Linked DNA regions of Caenorhabditis elegans. The protein of the gene in region 2 interacts with the protein of the main gene of each other region in a pairwise test. Each region holds a gene or a part of one and is shown on either strand. Other genes may lie near its edges.

Region 1 (4,910 bases), on a different chromosome or scaffold from region 2:
TCTTTCAAAATTATTTTTGCATATCAATAGGGCACATTTGCAGAATTAAGTGGAATCAATCAATAATTCTTAGTCTTTTCCTTCCTCAAGTCAATAAATGTGCATATTTTCCATATTCCATATCTACCCCTAACTCACACTCCCCTTCTTTTTGACATTTATATTAGCTTTATCATTCGTTTTTGTTAACTTTAATCACAAAAAATCCGGGCATAATTTCTCTTTACCATCTTCACTTTTCATGTCATTTGTTTTCACTTTTTTTGATAATTTTTTATCATTTGGGTCTTGTTTTTCACAAAATCAAAACTTTTTCACAACTTCTTTTTCAGTAATCCCAGTTTTTCTGTACCGATGTGACCAGATATGTATAAATTTTATTGCATCCAACAATCTCACACAGTTTGATTATTTGAAAAACTGTTCTGATTCAGAAAAATGTTACATTTACACTTTGAAAACTTTTTTCTAAAATTTGAATGCTATTTAATTTTTAAACTTTAAGCATCAACGAACACAATGGCCGATATCTTCAGAAAACCAAAATCAAAAATTCAAAAAAGGAAAATTTTAGAAGACGACGACGTTGCTGCTGATGGTATTTAATTTTTAATCTGATAAAATAATTGTTTTTAAAGCAAATGATAACTTAAGAGCATAACATGCATTAAAATTTTTAATGTTCTAAATTTTTTTTTCCAGAAGAGTCGTCAAGAGTTTCCGATATTCGAGATCTTCAACGATCACGAGAAAGGAAAAATGGTCTCACAGAATTAGAATGCGCAGTTGGAATTTCAAAAGCTGCAGCTCTCGAGGATGGAATTCAAATGGCTGGTGGCGGAATGGTGATGACAAGTAAAAAGAAGGCAGCAATGGAAGCTGCAAGCATTGAACAAGGACTCCGAGAACAATTCGAGAAGGAAACAATGCTGAGAGATGAACATGAAGAATTAAGGAAATATATTGATGACGGACTTCAAGAATATACAGCTGATACTTCTAAAATTGAAAAACAGAAACAACCTTCTTCATCAGCTGCAGCTAAATTTTCATCGCTGAATGCAGAAGATCGTGATGTAGAGCTTTTGAAACAAGCTGCTGGAAAAGTGAAGGGAAATCAAAGCAAAAAGGAGACAGAATTGCTTTCAGAGCATATGCTCGCAGGAATCCCAGAAGTGGACCTGGGAATTAGCACTCGTATCACCAATATCTTGGAGACTGAAAAGAAAAAACGATTCCTTCTTCAAATATCTGCTGCTGAAGCTGCAGGTCTTCCACCACCAATTGAAGAATGTGAAGAATCAAAACCAAAATATCGAAGACGTTTCAACAACCAGCGTCGATAAATTGAGATACACAAGTGTTTTTTATTTATTTTCCTGTTTAAATAAATTCGATTCATTTTATAAAACTCTGAATTGAAAGTATTCAATTAAATTCTGAAAAGCCTCATGCAAATCAGCGCACGGCTTAATAGGCGTGGCCAATTCCTGCCGTTTCGCCACCCGTGCGCGCATTTCTGGAACTTAAAGGAACATGTTGCACCGCGACGTATGGGTCTCGCAGCGATCGCAAACAGGTATACGGTAAAAGTTTCGAAATTTAGGACTTCACCTCAAAACTTTTTAGAGTTTTATTTTTTCGATGCTTTTTGGTTGTTTTATATTTCGTTTCATCTAAAAATTTTAGAAATAATTATTTCTATTTGAATATGACCACTTTCACATTTTCCTCGAATGTTTCATTCCGAAATTCTAGTGAATATTCGTTAGATAAGCTAGATGAGCGAATCGCCGCAGAGTTTAAGCTTATGTCGTTACGTTATTGAAAAATATATTATTACTAAGTTTTCTTACAGGTTAACCATCGAAGAATGCCGTCGTGCACCACTCCAACTTACGGTGTTTCGACCCAACTAGAAAGCCAAAGCTCTGAATCGCCATCTCGTTCGTCCGTTATGACGCCAACGTCTCTGGATGGAGACAATAGTCCACGGAAGAGATTCCCCATCATCGACAATGTTCCAGCGGATCGTTGGCCGTCAACTCGGCGAGACGGATGGGTACGCGAATTTTCATTTTGTTCATCAATTACAGTAATAAAAAATTTTCAGAGCTCTGTTAGAGCGCCACCACCAGCTCGTCTGACGCTATCGACGAACAACAGACACATCATGTCCCCGATTTCGAGCGCTTACAGTCAAACACCTAATTCGCTTTTGTCGCCAGCCATGTTCAATCCAAAGAGCAGAAGTATCTTTTCCCCGACTCTTCCTGCAACTCCAATGAGTTATGGAAAATCATCGATGGACAAGAGTATGAAACAATCTCATGTCTACTTATTTTTCTGTAATTTCTTCAGGCCTGTTCTCTCCAACAGCTACAGAACCAATCGAGGTTGAGGCAACTGTCGAGTACTTGGCTGATCTGGTTAAAGAGAAGAAACATCTTACGCTCTTTCCTCATATGTTCAGCAATGTTGAACGTTTGTTGGATGATGGTACATAACCGCTCTGTGTTCCTACAAGTAATTATTTTATTTTAGAAATCGGTCGTGTCCGCGTGGCTTTGTTCCAAACTGAGTTTCCGAGAGTTGAGCTTCCTGAGCCTGCTGGAGACATGATTTCGATCACTGAGAAGATTTATGTTCCAAAGAACGAATACCCAGACGTAATTTAACGAATTTCAAGTTTTCGAACAACTAAAACATTTCAGTATAACTTCGTCGGTAGAATTCTCGGCCCACGTGGGATGACCGCCAAGCAGCTTGAGCAGGACACTGGATGCAAGATTATGGTCCGAGGAAAGGGATCAATGCGGGACAAGTCAAAGGTTTGATCTTGTTACAATTTTATCTAAAACAAAGTTTAGTTGTTGAAGGAAAGTGCTCACCGTGGAAAGGCCAATTGGGAGCATCTCGAAGACGATCTGCACGTTCTTGTGCAATGCGAAGACACTGAGAATCGTGTTCACATCAAATTGCAAGCAGCACTCGAACAGGTCAAGAAGTTGCTCATTCCGGCTGTGAGTTATATGCTTCGTAAAATCTCTACAATAACCTATTTTCAGCCCGAGGGAACTGACGAGCTGAAGAGAAAACAACTTATGGAACTTGCAATCATCAACGGTACGTATCGTCCAATGAAGTCGCCAAACCCAGCTCGTGTGATGACTGCAGTTCCTCTGCTCTCTCCAACTCCACTACGTAGTTCAGGTCCAGTTTTGATGTCGCCAACTCCTGGATCAGGACTCCCGTCAACGACATTTGGAGGATCGATCTTGGTAGAACAGTTCTTCAGTTTAAGTTTCATATTTTTAATTTCAGAGCCCCACTCTCACTGCATCCAACCTTCTCGGATCTAACGTCTTCGATTACTCGCTTCTGAGCCCGAGCATGTTTGATTCATTCAGCTCTCTTCAACTTGCAAGTGATTTGACGTTCCCGAAGTACCCAACAACCACTTCGTTTGTCAACTCATTCCCTGGTCTTTTCACTTCTGCATCTTCTTTTGCCAATCAAACAAACACCAATGTGTCCCCGAGTGGAGCAAGTCCCTCGGCTTCTTCAGTCAACAACACCTCTTTCTAAAAAGTTCACATTTATAACTCACACTCCCTTTGTTTTGTTCGTTCTCACCATTTTAGGTTACCATAGAATCATGTGCCATACATCATGTTGCCATTTTTTCCCCCTCTCATCTCCCCCATCTTTATCATGTCATCAATTGGTATCTACCATCTCACTCCTTTAGGAATAGCATACACATACAGTTAGTAATAATTATGTAATGAGATACCTAATACCATTAATTCCTTTCTGTAATTTAAACTCGCCCTGCTGCTTTCACCATATGCTCTTTGATTTTTAAGTATCTTTTCCCTTTCTTCGCAGATCTTGAAAAGATATTTTAACATCAGAGAAAAACGGCAGGTGCCCCGGTAATAACATCTTATCAGGATAACCATTTTGGAGAATACTCATTGATACTTTTATTGATGCAGCTATTCCCCTACCCATTCATACTACCTCGAATGCCAAAGCACCCCCTTTATTTTTCTGTGTTATCTTAACGCTAACCCCTGTAGAATCTTCCCGGTTTGATGTAGTCATCAAAAATTTTTCATCTTTTCTAAATTTTTAGTAACTTGAGATTTTAATTTTCTTTCCCGCTAGTTAGATATGTTCAAATCTCACATCCCCATCAAACCAGCCCCAAGTCCCCATTCTAAACCCCTACCCCTTCCCAATCTGTCCATTATAATTTTAAGCACAAGTCCAAGAGCTAATATTTTTAGCAGTCTTTCACATTGACCATTTTCTCGGTACCCTGTTTTTGAGACCAAAATTTTGAATTTTGAAATTGAAATACAGGGCGAGATAAAATAATAAAAAATAGTTTTTATTCAATTTTTCTTCCAGTTCATGTTTTAAAACGATTAAAAAGGAAACATTAGTTAGAAACATTTTCATTTCTTCAAATGTTTCACGTGAGCAGGGATTCAAACTGTTTCCAATCCGAAGAGGATTTTGATGATAATCCAAGAGTTGATGGAGTTATCGAATTACTCAGTATGTGATGTTCTGTAAAAAAAATCGCCAGTTAAAATTATCAGAACTTTTCGTATGGCCTGCAGCTGCAATTATGTTAATTTTCCTTTTACTCCTGGTGAACAATTCGGTTAACATTGAGAAACAAAAAAACGTCCGGAGGCGTCATTTAATGGTATTTGTTATCGGTTATTTTATCAGGATCGTCTAAATAATAATATTTCAGAGCACAGTTCAAAATTGGCATATGCACGATGATTTTATTGCAGGACTTAAAGGAATTAGAAAAGAGGAAGAATGTAAAAGAATGATGTTTTCTGAAAAGTGTGAATATAGTAAACCGGTGGTCAATGCGTTGAATG
Region 2 (3,685 bases):
TCGCAGAGGAAATCTATTGAAAAGACTCAATTGAACGCGATTCTGGATGATTTGGCAGTAATTGTGAAGAATCCAAAACTTCGATTGGATAATTTTGTTATCGTCTCTTCATGTGGAAATTCAAAAGAATTTGTGGAGTGGCTTAGAGAGATCACCCAATCAGGAAGTCTGCTCCACACAAAAAGAATCAGGGTCATTGATTGCCCTGGAGATCTGCTCGGTGTCCTTTCTCACTGCAAGCCTGGATTTCTTGAAGCCATCGAATTTTACTGTTTTAACTCTGGAAAAATCGATGAAATTACCAATTTGGAACAGTGGAAACGTGCTAAATCGATTAATATTGACAGCCGTAGATGCGATGATATTCCCATTGAGCACTTCTTCCATTTTTCTCGTTTTACCATCAGAATGGGAAAACTATCAGTTCCTGATGCAATTAAAATTAGAGATGTTAGTTTAAGCTGCTAAACCATCAAAAAAAATCATGGACTATTTTCAGGATCTGATGAAATCCGCTCACTTCGAATACGGAATAATCGATATCTATGATGAACTGACTCCAGAAGCTGCACGAGTTTTCAATCCGAATTTCATTGCTCACAATCGCGATGGTATTGAGAACAAAATCGAGCAGTTTCTTCTCACAATTTATAGAAAACGTTTGGAAATCAAGAAGATCGATTAATGTTACCTATTTCTTACCCTTTTTGTTGTTAAATGCCGAGTTAAAATAAATTACTTTCTGTTAAAATTGTGATGTACCTTGATTGTATTGCTATTGTTCTTATTCAAATTTTTATTTATTGAATTTTAATTTGATTCAACGATCGACGGGCAGGAAAAACTAATAATCATCATTTTTGACAAAAAATTCTGAAACCAGACGGAAGATTACAGAAATCAGCTCATTTCTATGGAAATGTTATGCATTCTCGATGATTTTCCAGCTGAAAATCAAAATTTCTAAAAATCATATTATTTTCGAAAATTTTGTCGGAAATCTCACGAGAAACTAGTCATTTTCTACAATAAATTAATCAAAGACGGGTTATTCGCATCGTTTTAACGATTTTTTGTATTTTTCTGCTTCTTCCTTGAGAAATTAGCATTTTCGTGTAGGAATCGATTTTCTGAAGTCAATAAATTATTCTCAGTGAAATTTTGTGAAAGTTTTCAGCTTATTTCTTCAAATTTTACTGATTTTGGTCAAAAAATTTGAGATTTCCGATAAAGTTCCTTAAAATATTGTGTGTTTGGTGGATTTTCCAGTATTTTAAAATAGAATTACCATTTTTTCGTTAGATTTTTACCAATTTCACTAATTTTTTAAAGATTTCAATGTAATTTTTCGGTTTTTGAGGGAAAAATCATGAAAATTGCAAAAAAAAATATTAAATTTTCATAGGACTACTGTAGAAGGTACGCAATACACAACTGCGTACTCGGCATTTAATTTTACGACAATCAATATTTTCGAAACTCATTTTCTCCCGTTTTTTCCTTGAAATTGCATAATTTAAGCTGTTTTTTTTGTAATTTAAAATTTTCAGATCATCTTTTTTCGATTTTTATTCAAATTTTCCTAATAACCTTTGGATTTTTTTGTAAAAATTGCATTAAAACATCAATTTTCTAGAATTAAAATAGGTACTTGCTCGAAAAATGCGTAATTTGTAGTCAAAGCTTCGCTTCATGCTCTTTGTACTCTTTTCGTGGGGTTTCTTTACAATTGTGATTGAATTATGGTAATAATTTGTCGTTTTTTTGCAGAAAACGCCGGATTTCAACCAATCGAAACGAAAATGAGTGAAAATTTGACGGATGAGTTGGATTTGATGAAAATGTATGTTTTAGGCAAGGATTACAATTGAAAATTTGTTTGAAACGTCAAAAATCCACTGATTTCTTACGCGATCTCTTATGATGCTCCCAGCAATCAAATTTGAAGAAAACTCATAGTTTTTATAATTTCAGCTCCGGTCCTCCATCATTCTCTGACATGCCAATGGAGACGGTTTATAAAATTGTGGGAAAAGTGGATCCATACAGCAGGTATTATCGATTTTTTAATTTAATAACAATTTTAATTAAAAATTTAGATTGGCAGTCCGCAAAGTGTGCCGAAATTTGCGAAATGTCATCGATGACACTGATCCTGGCTTCAAGTATGTTAAGGTGGATCTGTCCAGATACGCCTCTCGTCTTTGGTTGACCAATATCGGACGCGGCGCAATTTGTTATTCTCGAAATTCAAATGATCCTGGTTGCACTGTCCGAAGAACTTCGCAGAGTAAATCTATCGAAAAGACTCAATTGGATGCGATTCTGGATGATTTGGCAGTAATTGTGAAGAATCCAAAACTTCGATTGGATAATTTTGTTATCGTCTCTTCACATGAAGCTTCAAAGCAATTTGTGGAATGGATTAGAGATATTGCTCAATCAGGAATTCTGCTGCACACAAAAAAAATAAAATTGGACATTTTTCCCCTCAAAGATGTGTTCGGTGTCCTTTCTCACTGCAAGCCTGGATTTCTTGAAGACATCGAATTTTACTGTTATGACTCCGCTGGAAAAATGGATGAAATTATCAATTTGGAACAATGGAAACGCGCTAAATCGATTAATATTGAGGGACGTGTATGCGAAGATATTCCCATTGAGCACTTCTTCCATTTTTCTCGTATCACCATCAAATTGAGAAAACTATCAGTTTCTGATGCAATTAAAATAAGAGATGTAAGTTTGAAACTACTAAAATATAAAAATAAATCATGAATTATTTTCAGGACCTAATGAAGTCAGCTCATTTTGAATATGCATACATCAAGATTATAGAAGGAGTCGACCCAGACGTTTTGAGAGCTATCAATCCAAATTACCATCCATATGATGCTCTCGATCCTTTTGAACACGGAAATTATACATTTCGTATCTCAAGTGACAGTCTGTTTGATTCAGCTCTAAAAATCGAGAAGGTTTCAATTACAGAAGACGACCTGGCCCTTTTGTGACGTCTTTTCTGGACTGAAAATGAGCATTTTTTGTTGAAAATCAATAATCCTGTTGATGTTTTTTTCCCGTATTATTCGATTAAATTTACTTTTTAATTTTGTTGTGTGCGAAAATCCAGATAAATTGGCATGATCACTGCTGTTTTAAATGTTAAATTGATTTAAAATCTCAAATAATATCTATATTTACTCCATTTTCCACGAGAGAATATTAAAAATCATGCCCATGATTTTTAAAATTCATTTAAAATCAAAAATGTATTTTATTCACGCGGTTTTTGAATTATTTAATGTTCAAAAAACAAGAACCATCCGAGAATTTGCCGAAAATTAAATCAAAAACTCGAAAAAAATGATTTTTTGATTCAAAAACGTATTTCTCACACCATTTTAGAGATTTTCTGACTGAAAATCAATTTTTTCGTTCTTTCTCCGATGCTTTCTTCAGTAATTTCGCATTTTCCGGTTAAAATCGATATTCTGAAATGAAAAACATAATTTTCCGCAATTTTCCATCGATTTTCAGCTAAATCCGTCTGGTTTTCACTTGTTTTGAGCTAAAATAAAGTCCCCGTGACATTTCCTTCAAAATTCGTGTTTCTTATGGATTTTCCAGGGTTTTGATGCGATCTGCATTTTTTTGAGACGAAAATTCAAATTTTCGATCCATT

What was found. Proteins that work in one complex are often made in the same cells at the same time.
Region 1: the proteins of fog-2 (region 2) and gld-1 interact in a two-hybrid assay, tested with the Caenorhabditis elegans proteins (2 studies listed by BioGRID).

The regions. Positions count from the first base shown.
Region 1 is NC_003279.8:7,693,823-7,698,732, forward strand, and holds gld-1 (Female germline-specific tumor suppressor gld-1), read left to right. Parts: upstream 1-1,858; 5' UTR 1,859-1,873; coding exon 1,874-2,062; intron 2,063-2,113; coding exon 2,114-2,315; intron 2,316-2,361; coding exon 2,362-2,499; intron 2,500-2,544; coding exon 2,545-2,669; intron 2,670-2,714; coding exon 2,715-2,831; intron 2,832-2,879; coding exon 2,880-3,023; intron 3,024-3,068; coding exon 3,069-3,281; intron 3,282-3,324; coding exon 3,325-3,588; 3' UTR 3,589-4,400; downstream 4,401-4,910. Other genes in the region: T23G11.4 (Hepatocellular carcinoma-associated antigen 59), read left to right, coding at 520-598, 703-1,346; T23G11.10 (uncharacterized protein), read left to right, coding at 4,479-4,569, 4,614-4,723, 4,775-4,910. UniProt on the Caenorhabditis elegans protein: RNA-binding protein which recognizes the 5'-UACUCAU-3' RNA consensus sequence. Binds sequences in both the 5'coding and the 3'-UTR region of rme-2 mRNA. Binds sequences in the 3'-UTR region of cye-1 mRNA. Binds to cyb-2.1, cyb-2.2 and cyb-3 mRNA.
Region 2 is NC_003283.11:20,197,492-20,201,176, forward strand, and holds fog-2 (F-box domain-containing protein), read left to right. Parts: upstream 1-1,770; 5' UTR 1,771-1,802; coding exon 1,803-1,843; intron 1,844-1,974; coding exon 1,975-2,052; intron 2,053-2,099; coding exon 2,100-2,739; intron 2,740-2,789; coding exon 2,790-3,014; 3' UTR 3,015-3,149; downstream 3,150-3,685. Other genes in the region: ftr-1 (F-box domain-containing protein), read left to right, coding at 1-450, 500-685.